Pelodiscus sinensis: one gene and its partners. The protein of the gene in region 1 interacts with the protein of each later gene in a pairwise test. Links are inferred from orthologs where the notes say so. Each region holds a gene or a part of one and is shown in the gene's direction. Other genes may lie near its edges.

The links.
Region 2: the proteins of ARL6IP1 (region 1) and ACSF2 interact in binary tests that used the Homo sapiens proteins (3 or more experiments, as listed by UniProt). The two-hybrid records come from large-scale screens. The link is inferred for Pelodiscus sinensis from reciprocal best matches to the Homo sapiens genes ARL6IP1 and ACSF2.
Region 3: the proteins of ARL6IP1 (region 1) and SUCLA2 interact in binary tests that used the Homo sapiens proteins (3 or more experiments, as listed by UniProt). The two-hybrid records come from large-scale screens. The link is inferred for Pelodiscus sinensis from reciprocal best matches to the Homo sapiens genes ARL6IP1 and SUCLA2.
Region 4: the proteins of ARL6IP1 (region 1) and GAD2 interact in binary tests that used the Homo sapiens proteins (3 or more experiments, as listed by UniProt). The two-hybrid records come from large-scale screens. The link is inferred for Pelodiscus sinensis from reciprocal best matches to the Homo sapiens genes ARL6IP1 and GAD2.

Annotation. Positions count from the first base shown.
Region 1 is NC_134726.1:20,312,467-20,319,881, reverse strand, and holds the start of ARL6IP1 (ADP-ribosylation factor-like protein 6-interacting protein 1), read left to right. Parts: upstream 1-4,415; 5' UTR 4,416-4,568; coding exon 4,569-4,604; intron 4,605-7,415. UniProt on the Homo sapiens protein: Positively regulates SLC1A1/EAAC1-mediated glutamate transport by increasing its affinity for glutamate in a PKC activity-dependent manner.
Region 2 is NC_134730.1:14,006,065-14,014,043, forward strand, and holds the start of ACSF2 (medium-chain acyl-CoA ligase ACSF2, mitochondrial), read left to right. Parts: upstream 1-4,963; 5' UTR 4,964-5,108; coding exon 5,109-5,200; intron 5,201-7,979. UniProt on the Homo sapiens protein: Acyl-CoA synthases catalyze the initial reaction in fatty acid metabolism, by forming a thioester with CoA. Has some preference toward medium-chain substrates. Plays a role in adipocyte differentiation.
Region 3 is NC_134711.1:288,709,825-288,717,111, reverse strand, and holds the start of SUCLA2 (succinate--CoA ligase [ADP-forming] subunit beta, mitochondrial), read left to right. Parts: upstream 1-4,269; 5' UTR 4,270-4,284; coding exon 4,285-4,428; intron 4,429-7,287. UniProt on the Homo sapiens protein: ATP-specific succinyl-CoA synthetase functions in the citric acid cycle (TCA), coupling the hydrolysis of succinyl-CoA to the synthesis of ATP and thus represents the only step of substrate-level phosphorylation in the TCA.
Region 4 is NC_134712.1:225,581,949-225,589,306, forward strand, and holds the start of GAD2 (glutamate decarboxylase 2), read left to right. Parts: upstream 1-4,348; 5' UTR 4,349-6,341; coding exon 6,342-6,417; intron 6,418-7,107; coding exon 7,108-7,167; intron 7,168-7,358. Other genes in the region: MYO3A (myosin-IIIa), read left to right, coding at 1,038-1,152. UniProt on the Homo sapiens protein: Catalyzes the production of GABA.

The DNA of each region.
Region 1 (7,415 bases):
CTGCTAACTGCTGCAAGTTATAAATTTCTCTTATCTGATCTTCTAAAAGAGACAGCGGGGCGTTGGTATGATCATATGCTCCCAATGCCAGTTTTAAACTAGGGAGTAGACCTTGATAACACATCCGTCGAAATTGAGGAGTGTCACAGAAGACGCCACCCCCCTGACCATTCTGTGGGTTAGATAACCAAAATAAGGTCCTTTTCCGTATAATATAAGAATCAGGTTTCTCTCCTATCTTTTGGGTGTCTGAATAAGCTTTTCCCATCAAATCCTCTTGAGGGAAATAAACTTTGTAGACAGCTGTGAACAATTCTTTAGGTTCTATATTAGGATTACCAATCACCTTGTAAGGCAAAGCCAAATAATCTTCGACTGGCATGCATTCTTTTAACAAAACAACAATGTCCTCTGGGCTCAGATTCGGGGTAGCACACACTCTGGCAATCCAGTCTACTACCTTTTCCCTGTTACATGGCCCTATAGTCCTTCCCAAAGCACGAGCTTGTTCTGGAGTTAACACTCGCTGTTCCTGTTTTATAACAGGGCCTGGTTGTCCAGGATACTGCACCCTAGTTGTGGTAATAGGAGCCATAATTGCTAACTCCTTACAGTCCTCCCCTCCTTGATACTGTGGAGGGGGAGCAGAAGGAAAACAAGACTCCTCTTCATAGTCTCCCAGCCAATCCACCTGATGGTATTTAGGTTGGATTGCTGCTATCACTCCTTTAGCCATCCCTAACTGTTGTTTTAACTTAGCAACCTCTATCTGGCACTGTGAGTGGTCCCCAGCAACCTTGGAGCTACTAGCCTCCTTTAGAAGCTGTCTAATAACTGCTTGGTTATCTGTAAGCTGTTCATTCTGCTCTAGTATGGTTCTTTCCAATTTACTTTTCTTTTCTTCCAATTCCATCAATTTACTTTCCAAACTAGAATTTTTAACTGTTAAACCTTGAACTTGGGAGTCTTTAACCTCTAATTCTGATACCTTCTTTGCTAATGCATTCTCTACCTCTACTAGATGATTTTCCTTTTCATTATCTCTGGCTTTTAGCTCTTTAAGCTGTGAGGCAAGCTCTTTGCTTGTCATTGCTAGCCCATACAGCAGTGCCCGCTTTTGGTGTTTACGTTTAGGCTGAGGTTTTGCTCCCATATACTTCTCCCATAGGTTAGTAAACTTTTCTAATGAATCTTCCCCTTTAAAGGACCCATCCACCCAGGGATTAGCTCCCGTTCCATAACTATTTACAAGCATATTCAACAGACAATTTATTGTACGCCGGTTTCCATCCCTCGGTGCCGAAAAGCTGCGGTGCTGCCATGGCTGTAAAAGGCTGCTTACCCAGCCTCCACTAAAGAAAACCAAGACACCTGGTTATAGCAAGGCTTGACTGCTCAAAGCCTGCCGGAGGTGTCTTGCTAGAAAACCGGTACACAAAAACACCCAACAATAAATGCTACAATGACAGAGGAGTAGTTATATTGCTTCGCCTAAAAAGCAGCAAGCGGCAAAGGGGTTTAAAACCCGGAAGTAGGTCCGCGGCCTACTCCAACCAACTGCTCCCGGGGATTGGGCCTAGGCCTTGGCCAGCCAGGCTGGGAGCCTGCTGCCGTATGGTGAATCGGGTTCCAGAGGGGCGTCCCCACTCTGCTACTCCCGATATCACTCTCTGACAGAAGAAAAAGGGATAGGGGCCCGGGGAAGATGCCACCCCGAGTCACTGGACCGTATCTCGTTGCTTACTGTTGCTGATGTTTGTCTCTGGCTCCACTCCTATAAGTGGGAGTGATCCTAGGGCCTGGCGGAAACCAAAGCTGTTTCTCACCAGGTCCTGCCGCGGTCGCCAAACTGTTACCCGGAGAGCTGGGGTAAACAATTGCTGTGCTATGGGCTATGCAATTTAATTAAAGCCTAAGGTGCCCTCCCACAGAAGCCAGATTCGGCCTGGTATCCTGTATCTAATCACCAGGGAAACAGCTTAGAAATCACCAAACAACAAGAATTTAGGGCCAAACCATGTATTTTAAATGTAAGACCAAACATTAGCAAACAGCATACAACTCAGCAACAGTCCCACCCTAACCCTGGAAAAGAAGAAGATAGAAGAATCCCATACACACAAGGGTATACATTACATTCAACGCGGCGATTGATGTTCGATGTCCGTGACCTTCAACCTTGCGGCTAGTGAAAAGCCTTAAGGAAGGACAAACGGAGCGATCCCTCGATGGATACTTCTCGCCTCCTGCGAGCTGACGCTTGGTGGGCACCGGATCCTGTCCGAGTATCCGTAAGCGAGACAGTGTTATAAGTCCCAAAGTCTTAGTGGGAGCGGAAAAGGCTTCCCTTATTCCAGTTAACGTCACTAGCAGTGGGTAGTCTTGTCAGACTGCAGGCTGGAACCTTGGCCTCCTCCGGGTAGACGATGACACAGGGCAATGATGATTACAGACGCACACACAGGACATGAAGGGGGCCAAAGAACACGAATGCTCTTTGACAAGGGTATATAAACATCTCATGGCGGGAAAACCATGAAGAGAGCGGGGTGCAGAGAACTAGAGCTGGGTGCATAAAACTTGGGTGCCGTGTGCAGAGAATGGGTGCACACACAGGCAATTGGGCGGTGTTCACAGCCTTTGGTGCTGAGTGCATAGGTTTAGTGCTGGGTGCACAGCTTTCTTTTACCTGTTTTGGCGGGAAAACTGCTTTGAGGGAAAAAGAACCCCTCAGACTCCATTTTGTATTATGCCCAGGCAACAGTACTATCTCCCTTTTCGCTGGAGGTAGGTAGTGGGGCTTCTTGGGAGTAGGGGGAAAATGGGGGGGTCTGGACGCCTTGCGATCGACTGATCAATCACGATCGACCTGTCGGTGTTGGCTTTAAGTGGTTTAGCTGACATTCAGACCATTCATGTTCCTCTGTTGGCCTTCCCTTTAGCTTCATCCATTACATCACTGTCCATAGATGCTTTTCCATTTACCAGAAGCAAAGGGACTGCACCTACTACGACAAAACTGTGCAGTGTGTGCCAGAACGGCTCTGTCCACACCATCCCCCGAAGTACTTTCTTGAACTTTGCATTCCTGAGTTATGTGTTGTTCCCTAAACGTTCTTGCTGTAACATCAGAGGATGTTGTACTTCCCAGAAGCAGCTGTCACCATCCCCAACTTGCTTTGTCTTTAATTCCACTCTGCTGTTTTCTTTTCATTTCCTTGTGCCTAGTCCTCTTCTGGGCTGGCCGTAGTGGTAGTTGCGGCTGTGCCACTATGGACCAATGTCTGTGAATTGTTTTTGTGCATATGGCAACTACTGTGGCAGGCCCCTGTAACCAAGTACCCACTAATAGGGTGTTGAGAGGTTTGGCATGCAGGCAGGGGCTCACAGCTGGGACAGAGGGTTGGTTGGGGGCGGGGGGAAAATGAGGTGGAAGCTCAGGGAGTGAGTTTGGGTATTGGAGGGACTCTGGGCTGTGGCAGGGGGTTAGGTGTGGGATGGGTGCAGGGTCCCAGCACCACTTGGGACACTAATGACAAATCAGTCATTTTGGAGGCAGGGATGCAGGTCAAAGGCTCAAAACAAAGGGCACGCTGAGCAGAGAACCTCAGACCGTGCCCACTGCTCCTCAGAACTGCCTAGGAGCCAGCAGACTCTGTTAAGAGGATCTCTGCCAAGATACGTGCAATCAGGGAGGAGTGGAAATAGGCCCCATAGTTGCAGAGCATGCCCTCGTCCAGCAGCCACCTCCTCGTGTGATAGATGGGGGCCTAGGCCAGAGCCAGGCCCAAGGAGGTTGGGGTGTGTATAAACAGAGATGCAGGGACAAGGGCAGCCAGACGCTCAGCAGGAGGTTCTGGGGGAGCTGGAACAGGCGCTGCAAGCTGGCGCTCTCGAGGCAGGCGTGTACCAAGGTCTCTGCTGCGGCAAGGTCAGGAATGGGGGTGAACCACACAAGGTACACGCCTGCGTGAGGCTCTGGGAAGGAGCCGCCAACCCGTGTCCCCCAGGGGCCCTGGGATCAGCAGGGTAGCAGCTGACCGGATGTTTAATGGCCCAGGCTGCCATGCCTGGATGGAAAACCTGTCAGCTGTGAATGGGGGAGCCCATAGCTGTGGGCGCTGATGGTGTCATTCCCGCACCCACCGCTGGGAAACGGAGGCAGCTCTGAGAGCTTCTCATCGCCCCCCAAAGGAGAAAGCCCCGCCCCCATTTTCCCTTCTGCAAAAGCTGTACGCTGACGTCACAGGCCCAGCGACCAGTTAACGGCTCTCGGCTGAATCTGATTGGCCGTTGCCTGTGTTCAAACAACAACGGCAGCAGGCTCCCGTAGCCGTTGGGCGAGGAGGGGGCTCTGCGATTGGCCTGACCCAGCCCTTAATTCGGCCAATCAAATTGGCGGGCACCGCGTTGCGGTGGGACCAGCAGTTTCCCCCGCCCCTTCCAGAAGCCGAGTCTATAAGGCTGCGGGCAGGCGGCCGGGCGGCTGCTGCGCTGTGTGAGGGCTGCGGCGAAGGGCTGGGCGCAGCACACGACTAGACGCAGTCGCCGCAGCTGCAGCGTACAAAATGGCTGAGGGAGACAACAGGAGCGCCAACCAGCTGGTGAGCGGGTGTTGCGGGCGGGCGGCCAGCCGGTGGCGGGGACGTGAGCGTCTGCGGCCCTGTGCGCCAGCATCTAATCGCCGGGGAGGGACCGAGGGAGTCACTGCGGCTGCGTCTCCTTCTCCCCACCCCCATTACCTACACGCGTCTTTAGCGCGCCCAGCCAGCCGGGCGCTGCGAGCACCGAAAATTGACCCCCTCCAGCCTCCCGTAGCGAAGGGGTCCCGTAGCCAATCCTGCCCCTTTCGCCCGCTTCCGGGAGGCGGGGCCTGCCCTGTGGGCCTGTGGCAGGGAGACATCTGCCCCCGGCACACTGGGTCAGGAGGGGTTGGGCAGCCGCAGGCCGGGTGGGCCCCCTGTCGGCCCCCACTGCCGCAGTCCCTCGTGGCACCATTGGTCGCTGCACCCGAAGGGCTTCGCCCTCTGACACGCTTGTGGGGTTGGCCACTGCCCGCTAAGAAAGGGGGCTGGGGTTAGCTCGGCTTCCAAACAAACGCCACACGAGGCTTGGGTCATTTGTGCGTGGCCCAGCCCTGGATGCAGTTGTAAAATCAGACCGCTATTTGCGTAATCTGTACTGGGTTGTTTTCTGCTCTTGTCATCTCTCAGCGAGAGCCTAGCGGCCTTTTCTTCGGCCTCTTCCTGTTTCAGCGGATTTCGGTGCGAGGAGCTTTTTGTGAAGTAGACAGCAGAAGGTGCTAGGTAGTTGGTTAGGACAGAAATAAGGGATGGATTTTATATCTATATCTATGGAAGAAGTGAAGACTTGATGGGTGGTGGTACCAGAACAGGGAAAGGATGGATATACTTCCATTCTGTTGAAATTTTAAACCAAACTGAGAAGTAGTTTGGAAATATATTTTCTACCTGTATTTTAAGACTCTTCAATTTACGCTATTTTAAAAATTCCAAATGAACAGCCAATAAATTGAAGGAAGGAAATTATTTCCTTAAAATATAGGAAGAAATAGTGAGACTCACTAGATGTACGTGCTGCCAAATGTCCAAACTAAAATAAAAACCTGGAAAAACCATTTGAATTCACTTCTTAAAAGAGAGCTGAAACAGTAGTCAGATTGAGTGTAACTTCAGTGTACATTCTCATTGCCGAGGTATTCTCTAGTCTTGAAGGCTGGTGGCTTAACCATGAGTCCTGCCACCCTCAGCTGCAGGCCAATATGATTCTTAGCCAGCAGATAGAACAGAAGGTTTATTACTTGACAGGGATACATCTTAGACTAGGGATGTGAAAGTGTAACCGTGTACATGATTACACACAGGCTTCTGGAACATGCAGAGAGCTGATACAGAGGCAGCAGTGAAGGGATGGGGTGGGGAAAGCAGGCTCCTTGCACACACTGACTCCCAGGGATCCAACTGCCACCTCACGTGTAACTGCTGAAAATGTCAGCGGTTAGTTACTTATATGCATTTTAACATCCCTAGGACAGACTTGTCAGCACCTAAACCAGAAGCAGTCAGCACAATCCAGTTGGGGACAGGAGGCTCAGAGCCAAGGCCCCTGTACCCTCAAACCACTGAGACTAACCCATCCACTCGGAAGCCCACCCCCACCCTGCAGTTAGCCCCGCCTTGGCCTTTGTCCAGCTTCCTGGCAAAAGGTGTCACCAGGTTACACCCCCAGCCCTTCGTAGGCTTAGGTTACAGAAAGCATCAGTCATTGTGTGCAAGAAAGAGATACGGAAATTCTCATCACTATCTCTTTTTAGGTATTGGAGCAGTGCCCAGGGAAACTGACACACACACACTAGGGATGTAAGCCACTAATCAAGTCACGCAGCAAAGGTGGGGAGCAGGAGCTGGTGCTGCAAGGAGATAGTTTAAAAGCTGGCTCCCTCCAGCAACATCTCGGGGGGGGGGGGGGGCAGGGCAGGAGAGGCAGAGGCGCAGCGGGGGACCGGGTGCAAGCCAGGACTCAGCTATCCCTGCTTGTACTTGGTCCCATATGCTGGGCCTTTGCCTCTTAAATGTATCAAGAGCCTAGTGGAAATTCCATCGACTACTCAGTTTAGCGGATTAAACGCAATTTAACATCCTTAACACATACACGGTTTATTGTAGGATAGTAGAAATCACATGCGACATAACAGTGGATACAGTTACCACTTTGTCACAGTGTTTAACCCATTTATTATTGTTTATAGAAGAGCAGAGGGTTTTCAAATGCTGTTATAAGGGACCTTATTTAAAGTGATATCCCAAAATCTCTTTTAAAAAATGCTTCATGTACATTTCAGAAAATGCATGGGAAGCAAAATGTGCATGCTGGTTTTGAGCTCTAATAGTGAATAAGACTTTCTAATAATCATACTGGTATGATAAGTTTTGTTTAGTTGTATGCAGTGACAGTGTAGTTAAGTACTGTATGCTGGCACATAGCTCACTGATTTTTATTTATTTTTTTACTAAGCCTAGCTTTCAGCTGCACAATTTGAGTTGCTGAGATCTTATCAGTGAAAGAGACACATGCTTTGGTCTGCTGCAATACGTGCAGCTATGGGGATTGATGAGATAAAAGGGCCAGAGACAAATCATCTCTTCCCCCCCACACCCCCCTGAGTATGAGCTCCGTTTGCACTTCCTACCCTATGGGGATTTTTCCTTTTATCTCCTGAAGGAACTATGTATGCCATGCCTCTTGAGTCCAGACTGCCTGGTGGATGAAATGTCTGTCTGTCTTGTCTGTCTGAGATTAAGGAGCTCGCCACCTGGTTTTTCAGCAACAGAACTGGCTAACTGCAATTTGAGTAGTCTTTAAACATGCGGAGCCCCAGTGCATATTGCCTATGT
Region 2 (7,979 bases), on another chromosome or scaffold:
AGATCAGCCACTGAACCAGAAATAGAACCCAGGTCTCTTGAGTCATAGTCTGGTGCCCCTCGGTAACATTATTTAGTTATTGTGTGTACAGTACTTTAAAGATGTAAAATGATTTTTATAAGTGCTAATTGTTCACTACTTAGCTAAGTGGACAGAGGCTCTCAGAAATGTAGGCAGGTTTTTTATAGCTAAGTTTCAGAGAAGATGTGTTCATGTGGGGATGATTTAGTTGGGATTGGTCCTGTTTTGGGCAGGGAGCTGGACTCGATGACCTTCTGAGGTCTCTTCCAGCGCTAGGATTCTACGTGTGTTTCTGCAAAAACACCAAGAAGCCCTGTGGCACTTTACAGACTAACAGATGTATTAGGCATAAGCTTTTGTGGGCTGGAGCCCACTTTGTCCAATGCACGAAGTGGAAATTTCAATATGGCAGGGATGCCTGCACATGGAAAGACAGGTGTGTTACCTGGGTCTGAATGGAGACTGGGACTGGCTAGCTCACTGCAAGAAGTAATTTTCCTCCTTTGGGAATCTCACCTTCTTCTCAACTTTTAGGAACAGGCCACATCCACCCTGAGGCTACGTCTACACTGCAGGCTTCTTGCGCAAGAACTGTTTTACGCAAGAGTTCTTGTGCAAAAAGTCTTCCACAAGAGTGCGTCCACACTGCCATGTGCTTTTGTGGAAGAGATGTGCTTTTGCACAAGAGCGTCCATGGCAGTGTGGATGCTCTCTTGTGCAAGAAAGCTCTGATGGGCATTTTAGCCATAGGGCTTTCTTGCACAAGAAACCCCTGTTGCCTGTCAACACTGCCTTCTTGTGGAAGAGCTTTTGTGCAAGAGGGCTTATTCCTTGTGGGAAGAGGAATAACTCTTGCACAAGAAGCCCTCTTTTCTGATACTTTAATGTAAATATACTTGTGGAAGAACGCGTGTGCAGTGTAGATGCTCTGCAAGTTTTTGCGCAAGAACAGCTGTTCTTGTGCAAAAAGCCTGCAGTGTAGACATAGCCTGACTGAATTGACCTTGTTAGCACTAGTCCTCCACCTAGTAATATAACACTCCCATCTTTGCATGTGTATATCCCTGCCAAATTGAAGTTGCCACTTTGTGCATCTGATGAAGTGGGCTCCAGCCCATGAACACTTATGCCCAAAGAAATGTGTTAATTTTTAAGGTGCCACAGGACTCCTTGTTGTTTTGGTATAGACAGAGTCCCTGCCACTTGCCCTCACATAGCTCTGTCCTACTTTATCAAAGGGTGTATTTAGGATTTGCCACATCTCTGCTTCCGTACATCTTCAGTGACATAGAGTGGAACTCCAGCCTGCAGTTGAAGGAATCGGTGCCAGCAGATCACTGAGTTTGCAAGAGGAAAGTGAAGGCAGGAGCAGTCTCTCAAGGTGCGCGAGCCTGAGCGACTGAATCAGAAAGGGGCTGCAGGGCCAGACAGGCTGCTGCATATGAGTCCTGTCCACCCCCCAGAAAACTGTGGTGAAACTTTATCCTAATGCTGCCTGGGCTTTGGCAATTCTCATGTCTGCATGGTGCTGGCTGATACTGAAATGCCAGCCCCCAGTGAGTGCTGCTGTCATTTGACAGTCCTGCATGGCAAGTTTGCATAATTTTTAGTGGTGCCCAGAATGGGTCCAAGCAGAGTCATCATAGGGCAGACCAGGGCAACCGTCGTGAGCCCCCGCTTTGGGGGGGGGACTCTGTGCTTCAGGGGGACATAGGCTCTAGGCAGGGGGACCAACAGACTTGCTGGGCACCTGGACAAAGTATGTGCATGTGTTGGGAGGGCTGGCTCCATGCTCCTTGAAGGGGCAGGGTCTCAGGTGAAGGGGGCTAGGCCTCGGGTGGAGAAGACAGGGTTGGGACAGCCAGCTCTCAGTGCTACCCAGATCATGCCATGCCACACAACCCCATCTCTCAGAGCCACCTGCAGTGCACTGCATGGCACTCCAACAGTGATTTAAAGGGCTCGGAGCTCCGGCCACTGCTGCTCCTTTGGTAGCAGTGGCAGTGAGCCCTAGGCACTTTTGAATTGCTAGGTCCCAGGGCAATTGCCCTTTCCCCCCCATCAATGGACCTGGATCCAGGGTGACCTGGAAGATTAGTGGGTGGGGCCTGGTGCTGGCAGCAGCCGGACCCACCCTGCCAGCTGCTGGCATTTCTCTGGATAAGTGGGTAGAAGCTGGAAAGAGGCTAGGCAGGAGCTTGAGGGAAGGGGTGAAATGAGGGTAGAGCAGGGGCAGGAGGGGGAAGGGCTTGGGGGAAAGGGTGGAGGTGGGGAGGTGGGAGCAGGCCAGGGGCAGAGGGGAGGCGGGATGGGATAGGAGATTGGTGAAAGGGGTAAAGTAGGAGCAGGGAGGGCTAGGTCTGCATCTGGGTCACTACTACTGGTGCCAGGTCCCTTGCTAACTTCCCAGGCCATCCTGGTTTCTGTGTCCCAAAATGCAGGGCCAAGGGCAGTTGCTCCGGTCTGTCCTATGGATGGGATGGCTCAGAAAATATAGGTCCAAACAATGGTGGAGCTGAACCCACATTCCTGAATATTTGTGGAGCATAGGCACCATGGGAATCAGAGCAATTTTTGCAGCACCCGTCATCCCTAAGGTTCAGCGCTACTGTTATAAGCCCATATGCAGGAGGGTGTGAAGGGTGCAAAAGCACCCCTATGATCTCCTAAGTAAGCATGCTCCGGCCAGCCAGAGGAAGGCAGGAGCAGCGCTGCGCTCTGACCAGCCAGGGGAAGTCTGGGGCTGATTTCCCTGCTTACTTGGGAGACCATGGGGGGGGGGGGGGTGCATTCACACTCTTGTCCACATTTACAAAAAAAAGCACGCCCCTCCAGAAATTCCTGCATACAGGTTTATGTTATAAGCCCAAAACTGTTTTCTCCTTGGGGCTAGGTGCTTCAGAGAGCTGGGTACCTCTGTTTTCAGGGGCTGCTGTCTGGAGCTGCCTTGGTCTCGTAGGTGTGGTGATGCTACTCTGGTGTTTTTGAAGTAGCTGTGCAGCACCTGACTACTCTTCCTATCCCGTGAAGCAATACAGGGAGCTGGGCCCCGAGGCACAGGCTCACATGGGCAGGGAGATGCATCACTACTATGGCATGTTTGACACGAGGTTTGGGCGGTGATCACAGCACTTGTAATGTGAACAGGCTGAAGGACATTTGATAAGTTACAGGGAAAGGGTGATTCTGCAAAAGAGAGGCCAAGTTCAGGGCCGGCTATTTCAGGTTAGATGGAGAGAGGCAGATGTTAGGGGAGAGCCAGTCTGGAGAATAGGGGAAGGGACAAATATTAAAAAATGATAAACTTATAAAACCACAAATAGTATGGTAGCACTTTGAAGACTAACACAACATTAAAAAAGGGACAGTTTTGGCCTTAGGTTGCAAGTGGGGTAGCTTGGGGAACAGGTAAGAGAAGTAGATACAAAGGCACAGATCTGAGGTAAGGGACGGTTGTGTATGATGGGGCAGGGTCCAGGGAAGAGGGACAGTTTGGGACAGTGGTGAGACAGATGAGTTATGAAATTCTCAGCCTCTGTATTCCTCCCCCTTCAATTAATTTAAAGTTGTTCTGTGTGCAGAGCAGTGACGTGATGCCCTTATTTTAACAAGGGGCTCCTCCAAACATCTCTCTCTTAGCTTGTGCCTATGTCCCAGAAGGGGAGTTGGAGCAGGACTAGGAAATCTGCTCTTTGTTCAAATGAGGAAATGAAGTTTTCTCACAACAGGAACCAAGCTGGAAGGCAGCAGCGCCACTCAGCTAACACACTGAGATGAAGCAGCTGCAAGTGTCCACATGCTGCTTCCAAGAAATACAAAGAGTGTATTATATAATCCAAGTGTGTCCTTGTACATGCAGAGGGAGAGCTGGAGACTTTGCATTGATTCTGGAGAGCCAAATCATACCCTATTCCTCACTCATGGGGTAGTCACCTAAGGAAGGGCAAACCTTGCAGCCACCCAGGAAAGATTCAAATGCCATCCAGCTGATTAGCCGAGCCCCCACAACCAGCAGCACTGTGTTTCTATTGGTGGTGCACATCCACACATATGCCTCAGTGCAGGTCACAAAATTTGTTCTCCACATGGATGGAAAAAAATAGAGGTAACACTGCAAGCAAATCAGCATTTTTATGAGCTCCAATTACATACCATTTCTGGCAGGATGATTGAACAATATTCCCAGAGGTGTGTCTCCATCTGAGGCAGGGACATCTCAATTTTACCAAGGATGGGGGAACCTGTAAGGATGGGCAGCTGGCTGGTTTAATGGGTAAGGCTCAAGCTAGTGGGAGAGAGCTTCTAGTGAAGTTGTGAGGGGCCCCGTGAGTTGCTGAAGCTACTGCAGACTCTCAAGCAGCCAGCTGACTTGCTTGACTTTATTGTTTACACAGCACCACAGTGCGTGCTGGCTGCTTTTCGGGACATGACCCATCGCTTCCTATGCTCTTCCTGCTGTTTTTACCCAGGCCCATTTGGCCCCGTTTCCTTGCCCCAATTATTCCCTCTAGGAAACTGCTTTGCTTTTTCTTCGGACTCTTCCCAACCTGTCCCCCTCCCCCCGCTTTGCCTGCTTCTTTAAGAGACTCCCCCCCGCCCCGGTCGTGGGGCTTGCCTCCTGCTGCTGCTGCACCCCCCTGCCTTGAACGGACCCCCATGCAGTTCAGTGGCTCCCCGCACCCCCCCCCCACTATAGGAGTGGTTCCAGCGCCCCGAGAGGCGGCTGGGAAAAGATCGCGTGTTGTGAGCGAGGGGTGCCAAGGGGGTGAGGTGGGGGCTCGCCTTGCGCGCCTGGTCTGGGGCCCTGCACGAGCTCGCTGGGGGGGGGGGGGGGAGGGACCCCGCCTGCAGCAGCGGCCGGGGCTGCGCGCGAGCGGTTTGGGGTTGGGCGAGCTGGCGGGGGAGGGACCCAGAAGCGCCCCTCGAGTTCCTTCAGCGCCGAGCCCTGCCTGCGCGCCCCGCCCCTCCCCGGGCCAGGCGGTTCCGCACTCGCAGCTCCGCGCGCCGCCTCCTGCCCGAGCTCCCGGGAGCTGCCGTCGCGGGTGGCGTGGGGCTGGGCAGTGGGGCGCAGCGCCCCCTACCTCGCCATGGCTGGCGCCGCCTGGCTCAGGCTGTTGGCTCGGGAGCTGGTGGCTGCGCTTGGGAAAAGCCCGGGGCTCCGGGGCGTTCAGCGGGTCAGGTAAAGCCTGAGAGGGGAGAGGGGAAGAGGCACAAGGATGGGATGGGGAGGGGGGAGATGCCGGGGGGGGGGGGGCGTTCAGGGCCAGCTGCGGGAGGCAGATGTGCAAGGGGGGGCTCGTGGGGACAGGTGAGGGGTGGCCACTAGTGTGTTCTGCGCAGGGGGGCAGCTTGGGCATGGTGAGCAGTGGAGAAGATGCCCTGCAAGGCGGGCGGTTTGGGAAGGGTAGGAGCCAGGGGCAGGCAGGGGGTAATGCAGCTGGGCAGGTTGCCTGGAGAAGGGCAGTTTGCAGATAGGTGGGGGACGTGCACCAGTTGGGGAAGTAGGAAGGAAGCAAGTGCCAGCAGCTAATCTGATGTTTACGTTCCCCTGGGCTGCATGTCAGCCCACATCTCTTTGATTCTTCTAACTTGGTGTCTCTCAGCCTTCCTGATACCTGGGACCAGCTTGCTGTGTCAGGGAGAGTTTGGGGCAGCACCCTGAGAAACACGGCTCTAACTCACTCTGTGTCCCCTGCACACTGTGTGGTGGTCAGTCCTTGGGGCAGATCCCTGCAGCTCGGGAGCCCCAGAAGCAGTGAGTAAAGTGGGGGTCACACAGGCCTGGCTGTTTTAAAATTGAGTTGGGTCTGCCAGGGGCTCATTTTACATTCTGCTTTACAAAAGCTGCTGCCTCCAGATTATTCTACACTTTCTCTCTCTCTCTCTCTCTCTCTCTCTCTGTTGGAAGCAGTGAATTTGGGCCCAGTGAGAGAGGGTATCTCAGTACAGCCTCCAGCCTCTGAGCCAGTCTTTCCTTCCCCATCATGTACTCAGTGATGATCCCGTGAAAACCTCTCAAGTGTCTCCTCCAGCCCCTTCTATGTTACTGATCCCAGCAGTTGATTTTGCTTAAGTCTGTTGATGCTCCTTCTTGCAACCCAACAAGAGCCCCTCTGGGTAAAGCTGTGATGCTCATAAGCACAGGGTCTCAGACAGAAGAGACCTTTACAATGTGTGGATCCCCAAGCTCTAGGGGGCAAAGGCAAAGAGGGCATTAGGTGAGTTGGTCCGGTGCAGTTGGCTGGAAAGTGAAGCTACTGTGTTATTGAGCTGGAAATGGTTCTTTGCCATGCTTGGTTTAAAAACTGGCTGTGGGATTGGTGGTGGAGAAGGGCATGAAGCTTTCAAATCCCACCTGCCCTACAGAAAGGGAATGGCTTTTTCATTATCTCTGTTGAATTCCCACCAGTGCAGTTGAGACCGATGCTCATCCGAGCAGTGATTGGGAAGAAATACCTATTTTTCTTTTTCAGTGTATTATTTCTAGTTTAGGGGTTCTCAGACTGGGGGTTTAGATCACTCAGACAATCAGGAGTTGTGAACCTCCATCCCAAAGTGCACTTTGCTTCCAGCATTTATGATGGTGCCAAAAATGTATAAAAGTGGTTCTTAATTTATAAGGGGGCAGCACCCTGAGAAACACTGCTCAGTGTTCTTAAAAGTGGTTTTTAATCCCAAGGCTTTGTTGTGTTAAAGGGGGTCATCAGTACAAAAGGTGGAGAACCACTGTTCTAGCATTTCTTCTATAACACGCAAGCGAGCCATGAGGGAGGTGTTTGTCTGTGGGTTTAGAGACCAGGCCAGCATTGGGAGCTCATTCAATGACAATGAAACCTAACACACTATTCTCATGAAACTGCAGCTGCCTGGGATCAGCTGCCTGGGAAAAGAAGTTCCCGTGAGGTGTTGAATCTAACCCTGGACTGTAATTATAAGGATGGGTTTGAATTCAGGGTGCTGGGTGTCTAACTGAAACTCTTTGGAGCAGATTTTTTTGTGGGGAAAGGAAGGTGCAGTGAAAACTTTAAGCCAAAATTTTACTAGAATTCAGAATGCAAAGGCTTCATTAAAGCTCAAAAAATGTCCAAATCATAAATTCCCAGAAGGGACCACTAGGATTATGAAGTCTGATCTCTTGTATAACACAGGCCATACGGTTGCTGTAAATCCTTGTTTAAATTTTGATTCAAACGGACCAGGGTCATTGACAGGTGGATTGAATTGTAACCTTAGGGGCTAATGCCATGTGCCTCTAGTATGAGCTAAAAGCTGATTGCCTCTCAGCTCAGGCTATAGAGCAGACTTTACTCTCCCTTGTTAGTGGTTTCAGTGCCTCTGGGTTATACCTGGTTTAATAAAATCATCTAGTTCAAAGCAAAACTAGTTTCTGGGGAGTAAAACTCGAGATGGGTTTGTCAAAAATGTCTGCCTTTAAAGAGTGAGGTAGGTATGAGGAAACAGCAGATCAGGGTGAATTTTCCTACCCACCCAGCAAAAGTTGCAACATGGCTACATTAGAGTAGGGTGGCCAACCTGTGGCTCTTGAGCCACATGCGACTCTTTGCTCACAGAAATGCGGCTCTCAGGGTTATGTCTCGTTCGGAGCCACATGCCCATTTTGTGCACACGCCCCAGTTCCTGGAGGGAGAAGTGCATGGCTGTGGTGGTGGCAGCTCCGGTGAGACCCAGGCATTGGGTTAGAATGGGAGGGGCCTGCAGGGGGGGCCTGGGTTGGGGGGGGCATTGTGTTAGGGGGAAGCAGGGGTCTGGCTCTGGGGGAAGGATGTGCAGCTCTTTGCACTACTATCCACTGCCCTTTTGGCTCTTCGTGTCTAACTGGTTGGCCACTCTTGCGTTAGAGCCTCAATCATGAATTGCTATGGTATGGGAGGGAGGGGGTAGGAGTCTCCCCAGAGCAGGTAGAAACTGGGATGGGGAGGATGTGTATACTGGGCCTT
Region 3 (7,287 bases), on another chromosome or scaffold:
TGAGCTGCAGGGGCCAGATCCAAGCAAGACGGGAACCACATCTGGCCCTTGGACCTGAGGTTCTCCACCCGTGATTAAAGGCTTCTCAGCGCTGAAGATGTCAACAATGTAACTACTGATCAAAGGAGCAAGTTTGGTGTACCTGTTTTACTCAGCTGTTTGATAACTTTGTCTTTTGTTAATAAATTTTTAGTTACTAAGGATTGGCTGATGGTATAATATGTGGGTAGGATCTGTCTGATCCTTTGAGATTGGTAGAACTTCATGAACAGTGAACTGGCTTTTCACTAACCTCTCATCCTATAAAACCAGATTATCGGGATGGGAACCAAAAGCTGGAATGCCTAAACTGCTGTCTTGTTAACCAGTGTAATGCTACAGAAACTATTTTGGCACTTGTTTGGAATTTATTTATAAAATAAATCACCATTATTTGGGGGGGTGTCCACCATGTTACTTGCAGTCTGCCCTGAGTGTGGCATTCTCAGTGTGGTCCAGTTGAGGCACTGGTCAAAAGGAGGATTCTGCTTCAGTTCTTGGTTTCAGTGATATTTCAGCATTAACAAACACAGCTGATGCTGTATGCAGCAATTCATTGTATAATCTTGTCCTTTTTAGTTGGAGACGTTCTTTTTCAGAAGATAAATTGGCTAAAACCTCTGTACTTTTGATGGTATAGAAGCCCTGAATGTTGCCAGTTACATGACTGCAAGTTCTTCAACTATGAATTAGGGATGTAAATGATTAACTGGTAAGCCTCACCCTTAGTGGTGATACAGTTTTCTTTTTTAACCTTTTCCTAATGCTTCCTAACATTTGGTTAGCTTTTTTGACCGTTGCTGCCCATTGAGCAGATGTTTTCAGAAAACGATCCACAATGACTCCTAGATCTCTTTCTTAGTGCTAGCAGCTAATTTAGACCCCAAGACTTTGTATCTATGATTGGAATGATGTTTTCCAATGTGCATTACTCTGCATTTATCAACACCAAATTTCATCTGCTATTTTGTTTCCCATTCACCCATTTTTGATAGATCCTTTTGCAGCTCACCGCAGTCTGGTTTGGATTTAACTCTCTTGAGTAATTTTTTCTCATTTGCAAACTTTGTCATCTCACCCTGCCCTTTTTTGGTTAACTGGAGGGCCTGGTTGGCAGGAGCAGCCTAGTTTGAGCTCATTTTGTGCCTTTGCCTTTCTAATTTTGCCCGTACATCCTTAGACCGTCCCATGCTTTTCAGCACATTGAGCTACCAACATTTTCCATGCTTGCTTATCAGCTGCCATATGACCTAACTCCTCCCATTTCAAATTAAATTTTTTTAGGTCATTGATAATTGTGCATTTCCATGTCATCCTAAGTCTACCCCCTCTTTTGTGTTGGATTTTTTGGCTTCCAACTGAAACCCATAATTGGTAATTAGTTATGATCCATTAGTAACACATACTGTAGCCATCGATGTCTTCTCTTACCAATTATTTGAGACAGAGACCTTGCTTTAGCCATTTTTCTGACCCTCATCGTTCATTTTTCTTTCTTCATAGCTTCCTCTTAATATTCTCCACAAGCACTTATGATAATACACATTTAACTTCTGAGTATCTGTTTTGTTAAGCTGCCAGGTTTCACTGCCATAGGTTGCTATGACTACAATGACAATTGAGTAGATGCTTAGTTTTGTATGGAAGGATACAGTATTAAGTTTCCAAATGTTCCTAAGTTTACCAAAGGAGGTGTTTTCTCTGCTGATCCTTATTCTTATTTCCTCAGATCACATACCATATTGGCTTATTGTGCTTTCAAGATATTCAAATCAATCTACCCTCGCTAGCTCTTCATTGTAAATTTTGATGGTTAAATCCACATCTCCAATTACCATTCCCCCACATATTTGTTATTTGTTTATATTTATCCTTTGTATTTGACCTAGTTTCCACTTTTTGTAGGACTCCTTTTTTATTTTTAGGTCATTCAAGATCTCCTGGGTAAGCCAGGATGGTCTCTTGCGAGACTTCTTATCTTTCCTATGTAGTGGAAACATTTGCTCTTGTGCCCTTAATAATGTCACTTTGAAAAAAAATAATCAAAACTCTCTGTAGGGTTCCTCACCATGGTGTCCAGGCATGTTAGAACGTGGAATGTGTCAGTGATCACCTCAGCGTCACATGGATCATCCATTTGGGGGACATTATCATGACTAAGATTCATTTGTAGTTAAATAGTGCTTACCTTCCAAAAATCTCCAGGCCCTGAGCAAAGATGAATGTATATTATTAGCCTCATTTTGCAGATGGGGCATGGAGAGTTTTTGCCCAAGGTCACAATAATGACTAAGTGACTAAGGCAAGATATAACCCAGGTTTAGATTCCCAATATTGTGTCCTTCCTTTATATATATTCCAAGTACTGCCTCCCAGCATGAGTACTACTACCAAACTCGTTTATTATTATTATATTTCCTACCTTTCCCCAGAAGGGAGTGCTATATCCAGTACCCTGTGTCTCCCTATGTACATTGCCCTTACCCTTCTGAGAAAAGACTTATTGAAACTTTAAGAAACTGACTTATAATGGGGAAGAATGACACCTAGTGAGAGGTCATGGTGAAGGGTTCATTGATATGGGAGGAGCAGCTTTGGAAGGATTGATAGATTTTGGTGGGGAAAGAGTCTGGACTTCTTGTTTTTTTCAGGGAAGAAGAGTATTTTACCAAAAACCTACCGTATATATTATTGAGCTGGACAATTTTTGAGGGTGCCTTGCTGAAATTTTGGCAACACATTACCATGTAATGAGTACAAATACAATCAATATAGAACCATTCTTTGAGGTTCTGAAATACCAGAAGCATCCTAGCATTCTACTGAGTTCAGCAAAATGTTAATGGATAATGACAGCACATCAGGTACAGTGGAGTGCCAGCAGCAAAACAATTAAGCAGCAGTCACTGTGTACCCTACGGTAGTTGCCATAGCAAAAGCTGATTTAATCCACATTAGACTTGCCTGTGGCAAAAAATGCAATCCATCCTGTTATTTTACTATTGTGCATTTTCAATTGCTAACTGCATCAGTTAATTACAATTCCAATACTTCTTTCCTTCAGTTTAGATCTAGCACTGGAATACATAATTTATGGAAACAAACTGATCCCTGTACATTTTTCTTTAGTGCTATATGTGGAATGCCCTTCTCATCATAATTTGCCAACCCACTTCCCTTTCTTAATTCACATTTACTTTTAGAGAAAAATGCTCCTTCCAAGTAACTTGCACACTATTTTCAGCTCTGAATTTCCCAGTGCATTTAGTCTATTACATAGATCTGTTAATGGAACTATTCACATAAAGTTAAACATGTAAGTATTTGCAGAATTACCTGCCTAGATTGTAAACTCTTTGTCAGAGATTTTATTTTTGTGTTTGTGTGCGTGTATTGTATACAGTCCACAGTCAAGTAATCTGGTGGTGGTAAAAAATAATTTAAAAAATAAAAATAATGAACTTTCATTATAGAGATAGCTACTGGTATATGTGATATACTAAATCAAGACTATCTGGAAATAATGGAAAGATTATAGTAGGTCTAGCCCCTGGAGAAGTCCAGTAGTCCCATGGTCCCAGCCTTCTTGGCCTGACCCGACCCCCACCCCATCGAGCTGCAAGCCTCAGCAACCCATCAACTGAAGGCATTCTATTTTCTCCCCTAGCATGTGGCAACACAGCCCCAGTGCTAGGAGTCCCCAGCTCTGGGTGGTTCCAGCGTCAGCAGGCTCCCTAGAGTAGCCTGCATGAAGGTAGGAAGGACCAGGCATGGGTGGGTGGCTGGGGCCCCTCATAGCCATTTGGGAAGGCATCGCCTTCCCTTGCCTTCATTATTCACTGCCTCTGCCCATGCTGCCAGCCCCTGCCAACCGCACTGGTACCTCCTGGTCGGAGGTGCTGACTGGAGCTGCAAGGGCCCCGTTTCCACCAAGCGTTCCACTCAGTAACAGGACACCTGGCAACTAGCATTGGGGGGCTTTCCACGGATTTCAGTGGGCCTCGGGTCAGGGCTCCGTGAAGCCATCGTCCCTGGGGGGGAGACTCGTCCCAAGCGCTCCGCTCGCTCCTGCGGGGGTCGGTCCCAGGCGGGCGGGTTCATGCAGTGGCTAGTTTCCCCGGTAGGGGGCAGCGCTGCGCTCGGGGGCCTCCGAGAGACCATAGAGTTTCCCCGCTGGGCGTTGCCCTCGGGGAACGCCGTGTCAAGAGAGGCGGAGCCCTGGCCTTTTCTTCCCTCTAGCGCTCTATGGTCGCAGCGACGCGCCTGCGCGGTGGCGAGCGAAGCCGAAAGGGTTCGGCGGCCATGGCGGCGTCCATGATCTGCAGCCGAGTGTCGGCCGGGCTGAGGCACAACAGCAGCCGGGCGTCGCTCGGGGCCGCCGCCGCCAAGGTGACCCCCGTGGCCAGGGCGCGCGGGACGAGTCGGGGCAAGGCCTGGCTAGGGCGAGGGATGGGCGCCGGGTCGGGGTCACGGGCTGTGACATTCCGCCCGCGCCTGCGTCCGAGCTGGCCGGGCCCGGGCACTGGCGGGAGGAGTCGGCCCCGAGGGGCCCGTCACTTGACGGGGGGGGTCTCAAAGTCCGGCTCATGAGAGGCGGGAGCAGCCGGGGCAGGTGGCCTGGGACGAGACTCTGGCCCGAGGGGCACCCGAGTCCGGGCTGCGCGTCGGTGGGGGAGGGGAGTGTTGACACTTGTCCCCGGGCCGTTCCCACCTGCGACAGATGCTCAGTAACAGCTGGTATCTGCGCCCCATCGCTCGTGCGATGACATCCCTGTCGCCCTCTTAGCTTTGTGCAAACTGCTTATCTGCGGTCCCGCGGGCCGGTTGCTTCAGTAGGTGCCACTGCTCCCCTTTCTTCCCTCTCCCAGCTGCCGGCTCACGTGAACGTTTGTTTTGTTTTGGAGAGGGTCCAGCGGAGGGCAACCAAAATGATTAGGGGTCTGGAGCATATGACCTACGAGGAGAGGCTGAGGGACTTGGGTCTGTTTAGTCTGCAGAAGCGAAGAGTGAGGGGGGACTTGATAGCAGCCTTCAACTTCCTGAAGGGAGGTTCCAAAGAGGATGGAGAGAGGCTGTTCTCAGTAGTGACAGATGGCAGAACAAGGAGCAATGGTCTCAAGTTGTGGTGGGAGAGGTCCAGATTGGATATTAGGAAAAACTATTTTACTAGGAGGGTAGTGAAGCATTGGAATGGGTTACCTAGGGAAGTAGTGGAGTCTCCATCCCTAGAGGTGTTTAAGTCTCGGCTTGACAAAGCCCTGGCCGGGTTGATTTAGATGGGATTGGTCCTGCCTAGAGCGGAGGGCTGGTCTTGACGACCTTCTGAGGTCTCTTCCAGTTCTGATTCTATAAGGGGATGGTTGGATGAAATAACATGATCTTGGTAACTAATTGACCATTCATTTCCAGTTGGAAATAGGTCAATGGAGGGATGATAGGAGTTGCTATAGGGAACTTTCTGGGTGTCTGGCTGGTGAGTCTTGCCCACATGCTCAGGGTTTAGCTGATCGCCATATTTGGGGTCAGGAAGGAATTTTCCTCCAGGGTAGATTGGCAGAGGCCCTGGAGGTTTTTCGCCTTCCTCTGTAGCATTGGGCATAGATCACAGCTGAAGGACTCTCTGCATGTTGGGGCCTTCAAAGTATTGGAAGGCTTCAATATCTGAGACATAGGTGAGAGGATTATTCTAAGAGGGGTGGGCAAGATTCTGTGGCCTGCACTGTGCAGGGGGTCAGACTAGATGATCATAATGGTCCCTTCTGACCTTAAAGTCTATGAGTCTATGAGTCTATGAGTCAGCCTCTTCTTGCTTCCCTTCGCCTAGCTGCAGGAAAGCTAATATAGAACAAAACATGGGCTAATGAGGCAAACGGTTCGGTTGGGTTGTCTGGGCTTTCCCTTGCCACAAATGGAGAGAGGCTGCTGCTGTTCCTTATGTCATATTACACGGCCGCATCTTCGAGGGGCGCTTGATGGTTAGTTTGAGAAACAGTAGCTCACCATTAAGTTGAGCAGTGAACAGAGTGTTCAGTTACGATAGTGATTCTTGAGATATTTAAGTAGGTTTTGCTCTCCTTTGTCAAGCCTGAATTTCGTCAATCCTTGTTTGCTTTTTTTGGGCATTGGAAATATAAAAGCCCCTTCAAATTCCAGGACCTTTAAAGATCCGTCTTCAGTTAAAAATCAACATATTTAAATGTAATTGTTGCTAATATCATCTTTAGTCTAAATTAAAAGTGGCATCTGACGAAGTGGGTCTTTGCCCACGAAAGCTTATGCTCCAACACTTCAGTTAGTCTATAAGGTGCCACAAGACTCCTCGCCGCTTTTGCAGATTCAGACTAACACGGCTACCCCTCTGATACTAGTCTAACTTAAGAGACTCTTAAAAACAAACATTTCTTGCCCTTTAGACAGTTTTGAAATTGACAGCTTCAGACAACTTGGGCAACTTTGGCTCCAGTTTTGCAAATTGGTGTATAAATAAAACCCATCGACTTCTTCAATAAGAAAAAAAAAGTACAAAAAGTTAAACAATGTGCTATTCTAAACTTCAGCTTAGAAAACACCTTTTTCTAATATTGTTGGAAACCATTCCCTTTTGTATTGTAAACACAAATACTTGGTTTGTGCTGCCTTGAAGTGTATTCTTTAAATTGGGAAAAATTATTCTGTGTGTCCTGGGATAGCTTTTCAGAGTCTTATTCATATTGCACCATTATCAGCGTTGTATAATAGGATCAGAATTTCATCCTCATTTGCTTTGTGTGTCCTTTTGTTTTTGACTAGTGTTGGTCCAGAAACTCAGTGTGTCAGCTTCCCTGAAGAAGTGACTCTGTTGATAGTGGAATAGTGCTGGTTTCAATCTTGGGCATATTTTTCTCTACTTGGCTTAAATGTTTTTGAAACTGGCCTCCCTTCTATGCAGCCTTCTGGTTTAGGGATGTGAAGGATTAGTCAACTAGTCGACTGTCCGATAAGCAAATATCGGATAGTCAACAGGATAGTTGACTAGTTGCTCTCTCCCTGCTCCCCCTTGCTGCCTCTATCAGATAGAGGCAGTGGGGAGGGAAAGGGGGGAGAAAAGAGGGGTACTTCACAGCAGCAGCGTTGCACAGAACCTGCTGTCAGCTGGGGGCGTCCGCAGTTGACCCAGGCTTCTGGGCTTTCACCTTTGAAGTGTAGCAACAATGTTGCTACACTTCAAAGGTGTAGGAGCCCTATCAACTAATCGAATACTGTAGTCGA
Region 4 (7,358 bases), on another chromosome or scaffold:
GTCAGTTTTCAGTAACTGTATTGCAGTAACTGGCGTAACTGCAGATCTAGGGTGCATGTAACTGAGCATAATTTAGCCCCTGTTCATGGTTTATTATTTAAGTATCAACTACAGTTCTATATTCAGTGCTTGAGTTGGGCTTCCTGGGTAAGTAAAAAAACAGCAAGCAAATGGTCTGGTAGCACTTTATAGACTAACAAAACATGTAGGTGGTATCATGAGCTTTCATGGGCACAGCCCACTTCTTCAGATCACCGGAGTTATGATTAGAGGATAAGAAAACTTGAAATAAATAGGAGAAGGGAAAGGGGGGAAGATGTTGTTTTGTTAGTCTATAAAGTGCTACCAGACCATTTGCTTGCTGTTTTTTTCTGTAACGGACTAACTCAGCTATACCCTGAAGCTCCTGGGTAAGTAAGGGGAGCACAATTTAGTCCTAGAGAAGTGAATGCCTTTACTTGTTTGTTGGCAGTTGGAACTCAGTCCTGGATTCCTACATGGAGTTCACCAGATGTTTCTGTATTTATATCAAAACAATATATACTTTCCAAACAATAGTTTTATGATTAATCTCATTACACAGCAATGACCTCAGTTCACTCAAACAGGTATACTGAGGACTAGCTTTCAAAAATGCCCCTTGCCACCTGAAAAATGTTAGATGGAGTCTATACTGTAACAGACCCTCAGCAAGTGTAAAACAGAAGCTACCTGATTTACACCTGCTGACAATCTGATCCAGTGTTAATAGGCAAGATTTAGCTATTAATAAAGCTGCCTTGCCTGTTATCCTGACTATTTTAATATGTCCTTAATAATTCCCCCCTTTTTGGAAAAAGCATATTTTCTCTGAACATTCCTCTATTCTGCTACAATGTATTTGATCTGGAGTGCCAGCTCTATTCTGCAGTCAGGAGAGGCCTTGGAAAGGCAGCTGTTCTTGCTAAGGGTAAAGGCTAAGAAGTCAATTAGCAGTGTTTGCTGTAGGTAAATGTTTTGACTTTAATTTCTAAAGCACTTCTGCATTTAATACTTAGGTCAAGGGTTGCAGAAAGCCCCCTGGACGAGAGCAATACTGAAGATAATCCCTATGACTACAGAAAGCTCTTGCGGAAAACCTCTCAGCGCCGGCGCCTTATCCAGCAATTTTAGCTGCTGCTGCCATTTGGCTTTTATTAGTCTAATCTTTTTTATGATTTTTGTACCATATTCTTTTTTGTATCATTATCACTAATATTTCGGGTTTATGGTTAATATGAATTACCATAGTTTCCAGCCCAACACTGTTTTAAAGGGACACTGTCAAGTTAAAAATGCATATTTTTAAAAAATTGATATTAATATACTTTCGATTACTAAAACGGAACATATTTTTCAAAAACTTCTCCCTGTATATAGTTTTCCTTTTTTACACTTCTGTCATTTCATACTAAATAGTCAGTTTCTCTTTTTCTTGTGGTTATTTCCTAGTCAATTGACATAATGCTAACACACACGCACAAAATGATTACTTCACTAGTCACCTTTAAAGAATTCAAAAGAAACATTTATTTTGATTTTAGGTCTACAATACCTAATTTTTGGGCCAAATCTGCATGTGACAAATGTCCTCTTAATACAAATAAATGTAAATTGTTGTTTGATAGTATGTTATTTTCATATTGACTTTAACTGTGGTAAAGCTACTGAGGAATGATGTTTAAAGGTCAATATAGTGCATATATTATTTACCTTTACCATGAGGGCAGAGGAATGGACTTGATCTCTTAAGGTCCCTTCCAGTGCTAGTATTCTATATATTCTATACCTTGGAAATATTTTTATATACAGGGAAATATAACCATAATGCCCTCTTCTACCCCTGAGCTTTGTGGCTAAATGGTGAACTCTTAACTCTGTTTACTTTGCGCACTCCTTTCTAAATTTGCATTGAATTTTTGGAACCCTTAATTTTAGAGGCCCTGAGAAGTGGGAAGGAAAATGTGAATTGAACTATTGTTGCCTAAAATGCAAAGACCATTTAAATCAATCAATTCCACCAGTAGTGTATTTGTACTATATACAAAAGACATAGCCATTATGTTCAACATTTCATCCAAATTCTTATTTTTAAATAAATTATTTTAGAGAAAGGATGTAAATAACTAGAACATTAACTTTTATGCTTGACAGTGATTAATAGCTGCATGTTCTTAGCTACAAAGTAAGAATGGCAGATTTCACCATGCCATTATTCTGAGCAGTGTAAGGGCCAAATCCTGGTGGCTTACTCAAGCCAGGTGTTCCACTACAGTGATTTCTGGTGGGAGTAAATCAGCAAAGTAAAGATGTCTGCACACACTGTCGTTAGCCATGCTCGACACTCTAATTTAGCCTTCTTTCCATAGACATGTAATCAGTACTTTGTACTTTTACAGTAGTCAAAAGATTAAAAGCCATGTTTAAATTTCTGCAGTGTAATATGTGCTAGAAAATACTGGGTTTGATTTTTAAAGTCCTCTTAAAATTGCTCTCTCCATTATTAAAATGGCAAAATAAACAAACAGTACAAACATCAGGACAGGTGTGGCTGTGTTTTAATTACTCCTAGCACAGGTGTATGGGTGGGTGGCCGGCCATTTTCTGAACTGATGAAGGCACTGTGCCTAGTATGAAGTTAGTAGCATTTCTGCATGTATTAACATCCAGGTCAACCAAAAGAGAGTGGGGGCAAGTCAAGGTGCAGTTATACCCTCCACTGGATTGAGTAGTAGGTGAATGAGCCCCATCAACGAAGGGCAGCCTTACCCTTCACCCCTGGCACCATCCCCATTTCTCCCTCCTGTTCACATCCCAGTTTTCTCCAAGAGTTGCTCTGGATGTGTACAGAGAAATCATGATGTTAGTTGGGTTGATTAGATTAAATGCAATCCCTCCAACTAAGTAAGAGGCAAGCCCTATGTCTTCCTGTCAGTAGCTGTCTGTACACAGGGAACTAATTAAACTGTATTGCTGCATTTGTCCAAGAACTACATCAAGGGTGGGCATATACTACCCTCTGCAGGCCGGGGCTGCTCCATCTTGCCTAAATAAGCTGGGCCTGAGCTGTGTCTGCCCCATAGAGGGCAGACTCTAGAGAACACTAGGTTCTAGGTAACACCCACCGTGTGTGTCTGTGACTGCCACAAAGAGAACGGATGGTGGCTGTTAATTTCAGGCTTCCCATGCCCTGCGAGGTGCTAGTGCAACAAAGGAGCACAGGAGAGAAAAGATAAGACATTTACTACACACACTAAGTGGTTGTATCTACAAAGAGTAGGGGAAAGAAGATGCCCAAAAAGCTGCTACAATTTGGCTCTCCCCTGCAAAGTGGGCACTCTGCACTGCCTTCTCTTAAGGCACCTGTTTGCCAGCATCCTTCAGGGCTAGTCACACTATGATAATGGTGCAGAAGGGCAGAGGGTTCATCTAGGTCCTTGGCATGACCTGTTAGGGTACGTCTACAGAGCAACATTGTTTCAAAATAACGAGCGTTATTTTGAAATAACTTAGTGTCTACACAGCACATAGTTATTTCAAAATAATGTTGAAATATTGTCAAGCTGAAGGACTGCTTACTCTGACTCCTGTAATCCCCATTGTATGAGGCATAGGGGAAGTTGGAGGAAGAGTGCTCTATTTCAAAATAAGTGCTGTGTAGACACTCCCAATTTCGAAATAAGCTATTTCAGAGTAAGCTGGTAATTGATGTAGCTCAATTTGTGTAGCTTATTTTGAGTTAAGCCCTGTTGTGTAGGCGCACCCCAGAAGCCCATCTTTACAGACTTGGTGCCAGCATAGGCTAGCTCCAGCTGGCACACGAGAAACCCGTGGCGGGGGCGCAAAGCAGAACGGACAAAGGCCTGGAGCAAGCTGGGAAGAGGCACTAGTCCATGCCCGCGGCAGCCAGATGCAATTCCAGCCTGCAGCAGCCACCCTGTCCAACTTGCATCTACCCAGTGGGAAAGCAGCGTGGTCTGGATTACTAGGGGTGCGTCTACACAGTTCCCAAAACTCGAAATAAGATATGCAATTTGCGCTGTACACATTGCGCAGCTTATTTCGAGTATTTTGAAATAGCTTATTTTGTCATTTGGTGCTATCTACACAGCACCAAATTTTGAAATACAGTGCTACTTGGAGCCATCCCTTACTCCTAGTACAATGAGGTTTACAGACATGGCAAAACATATTTCAAAAGAGCAGATGGTTCAAAAGACGCAGGGTAGCGATTTCGGAATACCTCTGGTATCCGGAAATAACTTCGCTGTGTAGACATACCCTAGGGGGCTGCCACCTCCAGCCAAGCTGGCCTCCCGCCTGCTCCCCTTCACCAGCCAGGAAGGGCCTCGGCATTTGCAAAGCCGAGGGGCTGCCATGGCCTAAACCCCGCCTGCGGGAGCGGAGCGGAGCAGCGCCTCCCACCCACCAACGCCGGGCTTTTCAGCGCTGCCTGGGCCGGTCTCCCAGCTGGGCGCGACTCCCCACGACGTCAGTTATGGAGCTGCTGGCGCGGCTTTGTGCAGCGCAGCGGGGCGGGCTCGCTTTCCCGAGCCCCTCGCATACAGCACGTGGGAGGGGGCGCCGGGAGCAGCCACCCCAGCAATGGGCCGTGCGTTTCGCTGCACAAGGCCACGAGCCGCTGCTCCCAGCGCGGCGGTAATGTCAGGGCCGGCCCCTGCCGCCCTCTGTGCTCCCGGGCCGCCCCGACGCGCACCAGCGAGTGCTCCTTCCGAGGCCGTTTCAGCGCTTCCCTCGCCGCGGGGCTTGGGCCTTGCCTCCGGCGGGGCTCGCGCTTTCCTGCCCCACGGACGGTCCGAAGGGTTTGCTCTGCTTTACCCCAGCTCCCCCTCCTAGCCGAGGCAGGCAGCGCCTGGCCGGGGTAGATGGTTGAGCTGCAGTGAGGACTGGTTTGCATGCGGCTAGGCCTTTGCAATCAAGCCAACTTGTATCTCTGTTCCCAGATGCAGTAGGGGTGCGCGGGTGGGCTCTGGACAGGCCGCTCCGGCGCGGCGCCCCCTGACGGTCCTGCAGGGCCCAGGCCTAGGAAGCTGCAGGCCTGGAGCTCGGCTCCCGCCTGGCCCGGCTCCACTGCCCGCTTCGCTTGGCGTCGCGCACAGGCGAGCCCTTGCTCTGGTCGCTCCGCGGACGAGCTCAGAGCACGGGGGGGTTCGCGGAGCTTGATCGGCCTTAGCCCGGCAGCCACTGCGGGGAGACAGACGGGGTGTGACCTGGAGCCAGAGCGGCCTCCTTGTTCCACAGCATCGACTTCGCTGGCTACCCCGCTGCGCTGGCCTTGGCACAGGAGAGAGACACATTGGCCTGCAAACCAATGGCACGTGTGGGAGCCCGGGCCCGCAGAGCCCCTCATTAGCAATCCAGCAGCTACCGCCTGGCGCTGTGGCGGGTTCCGGAGGGGGCCATTTCATCCGCTCTCTGGAGCCACAGCCAAGGAGCGGCGCGCGGGCACGGGGCTGGGCCCCAGGTAAAGCAGTGAGCAGACTCAGGGCGACATAGGAACAGCCGAGGCTCTAGGCACATCCCCCACCTACCCCGCGGTAGCGGTGTGAGATCAGACGGCCGCTCCCCTCCGGCGCACACTGACGCCAAAACAGCAGCTGGCTCAGCCACCCGCCGTCGCGCCTTGACTGCAATGTGTGTGACCCCGTCAGGCAAGCCCGCTCCCCCCCCCCCCCCCGGCCAGACGTGCGTGGGACCGATCGCAAGCCCGAGGCTGCCCCAACTCAGTTCCTTTGTGCGCCTCAGCGTGCCCCGGGCCAGCCTCTCGCCTCCAAATGCCTCCCTCCGGCGGCCGAGCCTTTCTCCCCACTCCCCGCTGAAGCTGCCTGGACACGGACGCCTGGGCCCCGCGCTGTGCGTGGCCACGAGCCGCTGTTAGGCAGCGGCAGCCCACAGCCCAAGGGGAGTCGTGACTCGCGCCCGCCGCCGTTCCCCGCCCCAGGCGCCCCGGGCCGAGGGCTCCAGCTGGATAAAAGGAGAGAGCCCGTCACCCTCCGCCCCCCCGTTGGGCCGAGACGCGCGGGCCGGAAGAGGCAGCGGCTCAGCACCATGGAGAGCGCTTAGCGTCTCTGCCCCTCGCCCTGTGCCGCGCGCGCCCGGTCTGCCCGGCCCCCAGCCCTGCTGCTGCCAGCCTCCCTCTCTCCCGGGCCCCCGGCGAGCGCCAGGGCGCCGCTGACACTCTAGGCGCCGGCGCACGCTGCCTGGCGCTCGCACACGGGGACACTCCCGCCCTGGGACTCTCCCTCCCTCCACACAGCTCGCTGCAGCTCGCCCGCTCCTAGGCACGGCTGGCAGCTCCGCAGATGGCAGCGCCAGGCTCCGGCTTTTGGTCCTTCGGCGCGGAGGAGGGATCGGGGGACGCGGAGACCTCCGGCACAGGTAGGAGCGCGGAGCAGCTCTGGCGGGGGATGAGTTCTCCACCACGTGCCGACCGCAGCTAAGTTCCCAGCCGCTTCTCGCCCGGGGTGGGCGCCCAGCGCGACCTGCGCCCGCATCCCTGCCACAGCCAAGCGGGCTGGAAACCAGCTGTCCGGTTCCTCCCAGGCGGGTCCTGACCCGCCACAGAGCGCGCACTTGGATGCGGATGAGGCAACAAAGAACTACCTGGGGAGACTCCAAACACCGCCAGGGCAGCGCTGGCAAAGAGAAACGTGGGCAACCAAGCTCCCCTCGGGCTTCGCAAAAGGAGCCGGGACCCAGGGCTGGGTTGCAGGCTTGATTGTAAAGGCTCCTCCGCTGCAGCTCGAACTGGACCAAGGTGCCGCAGGATTCTCCAGGACAGGAAGGAGCGACGCCAACATAAACCTGAGTCTACTCCAGGGGGCTTTTATCTGGCTGGGGGGGTCTCTTTGGGGTGAGGGAGGGGAAGGGTTGTGCTGTCATGGGGACGTTAGGAAAGCCATACTCTGCTGCCCGGAAAGCGTTTGCGCTTCGAGTTGGGAAAGTTAGACACAAGGGGCCAATCCAGGCGTCCAGTCTGGAGCAGCCCAGGACACTTGCGCCACGCCGTTTTCGAGAGGAGGGTATGAAAGGCTCCCGATAATATACACGGCCCTTTTTCTCTTCCAGCAAAAGCGTGGTGTCAGGCTGCCCATAAGTTCACGGGAGGAATTGGAACCAAACTCTGCGGTAAGCGAGGCAACGAGTGGTAGCAAATAGCATGAAAATAATCAGTAAGCAGAAACGAATTCTCAGCCACCGGAGGAACCCAGGATTGATTCCAAGGTCCTCTTGTGCTGGCAGAGGGTTAGCGGATCGCGGCGGGGACTGTGCTCCAGTTCCAGTGTTTCAAGCGCTGATGTATTTAGGCTGCGTTCTTT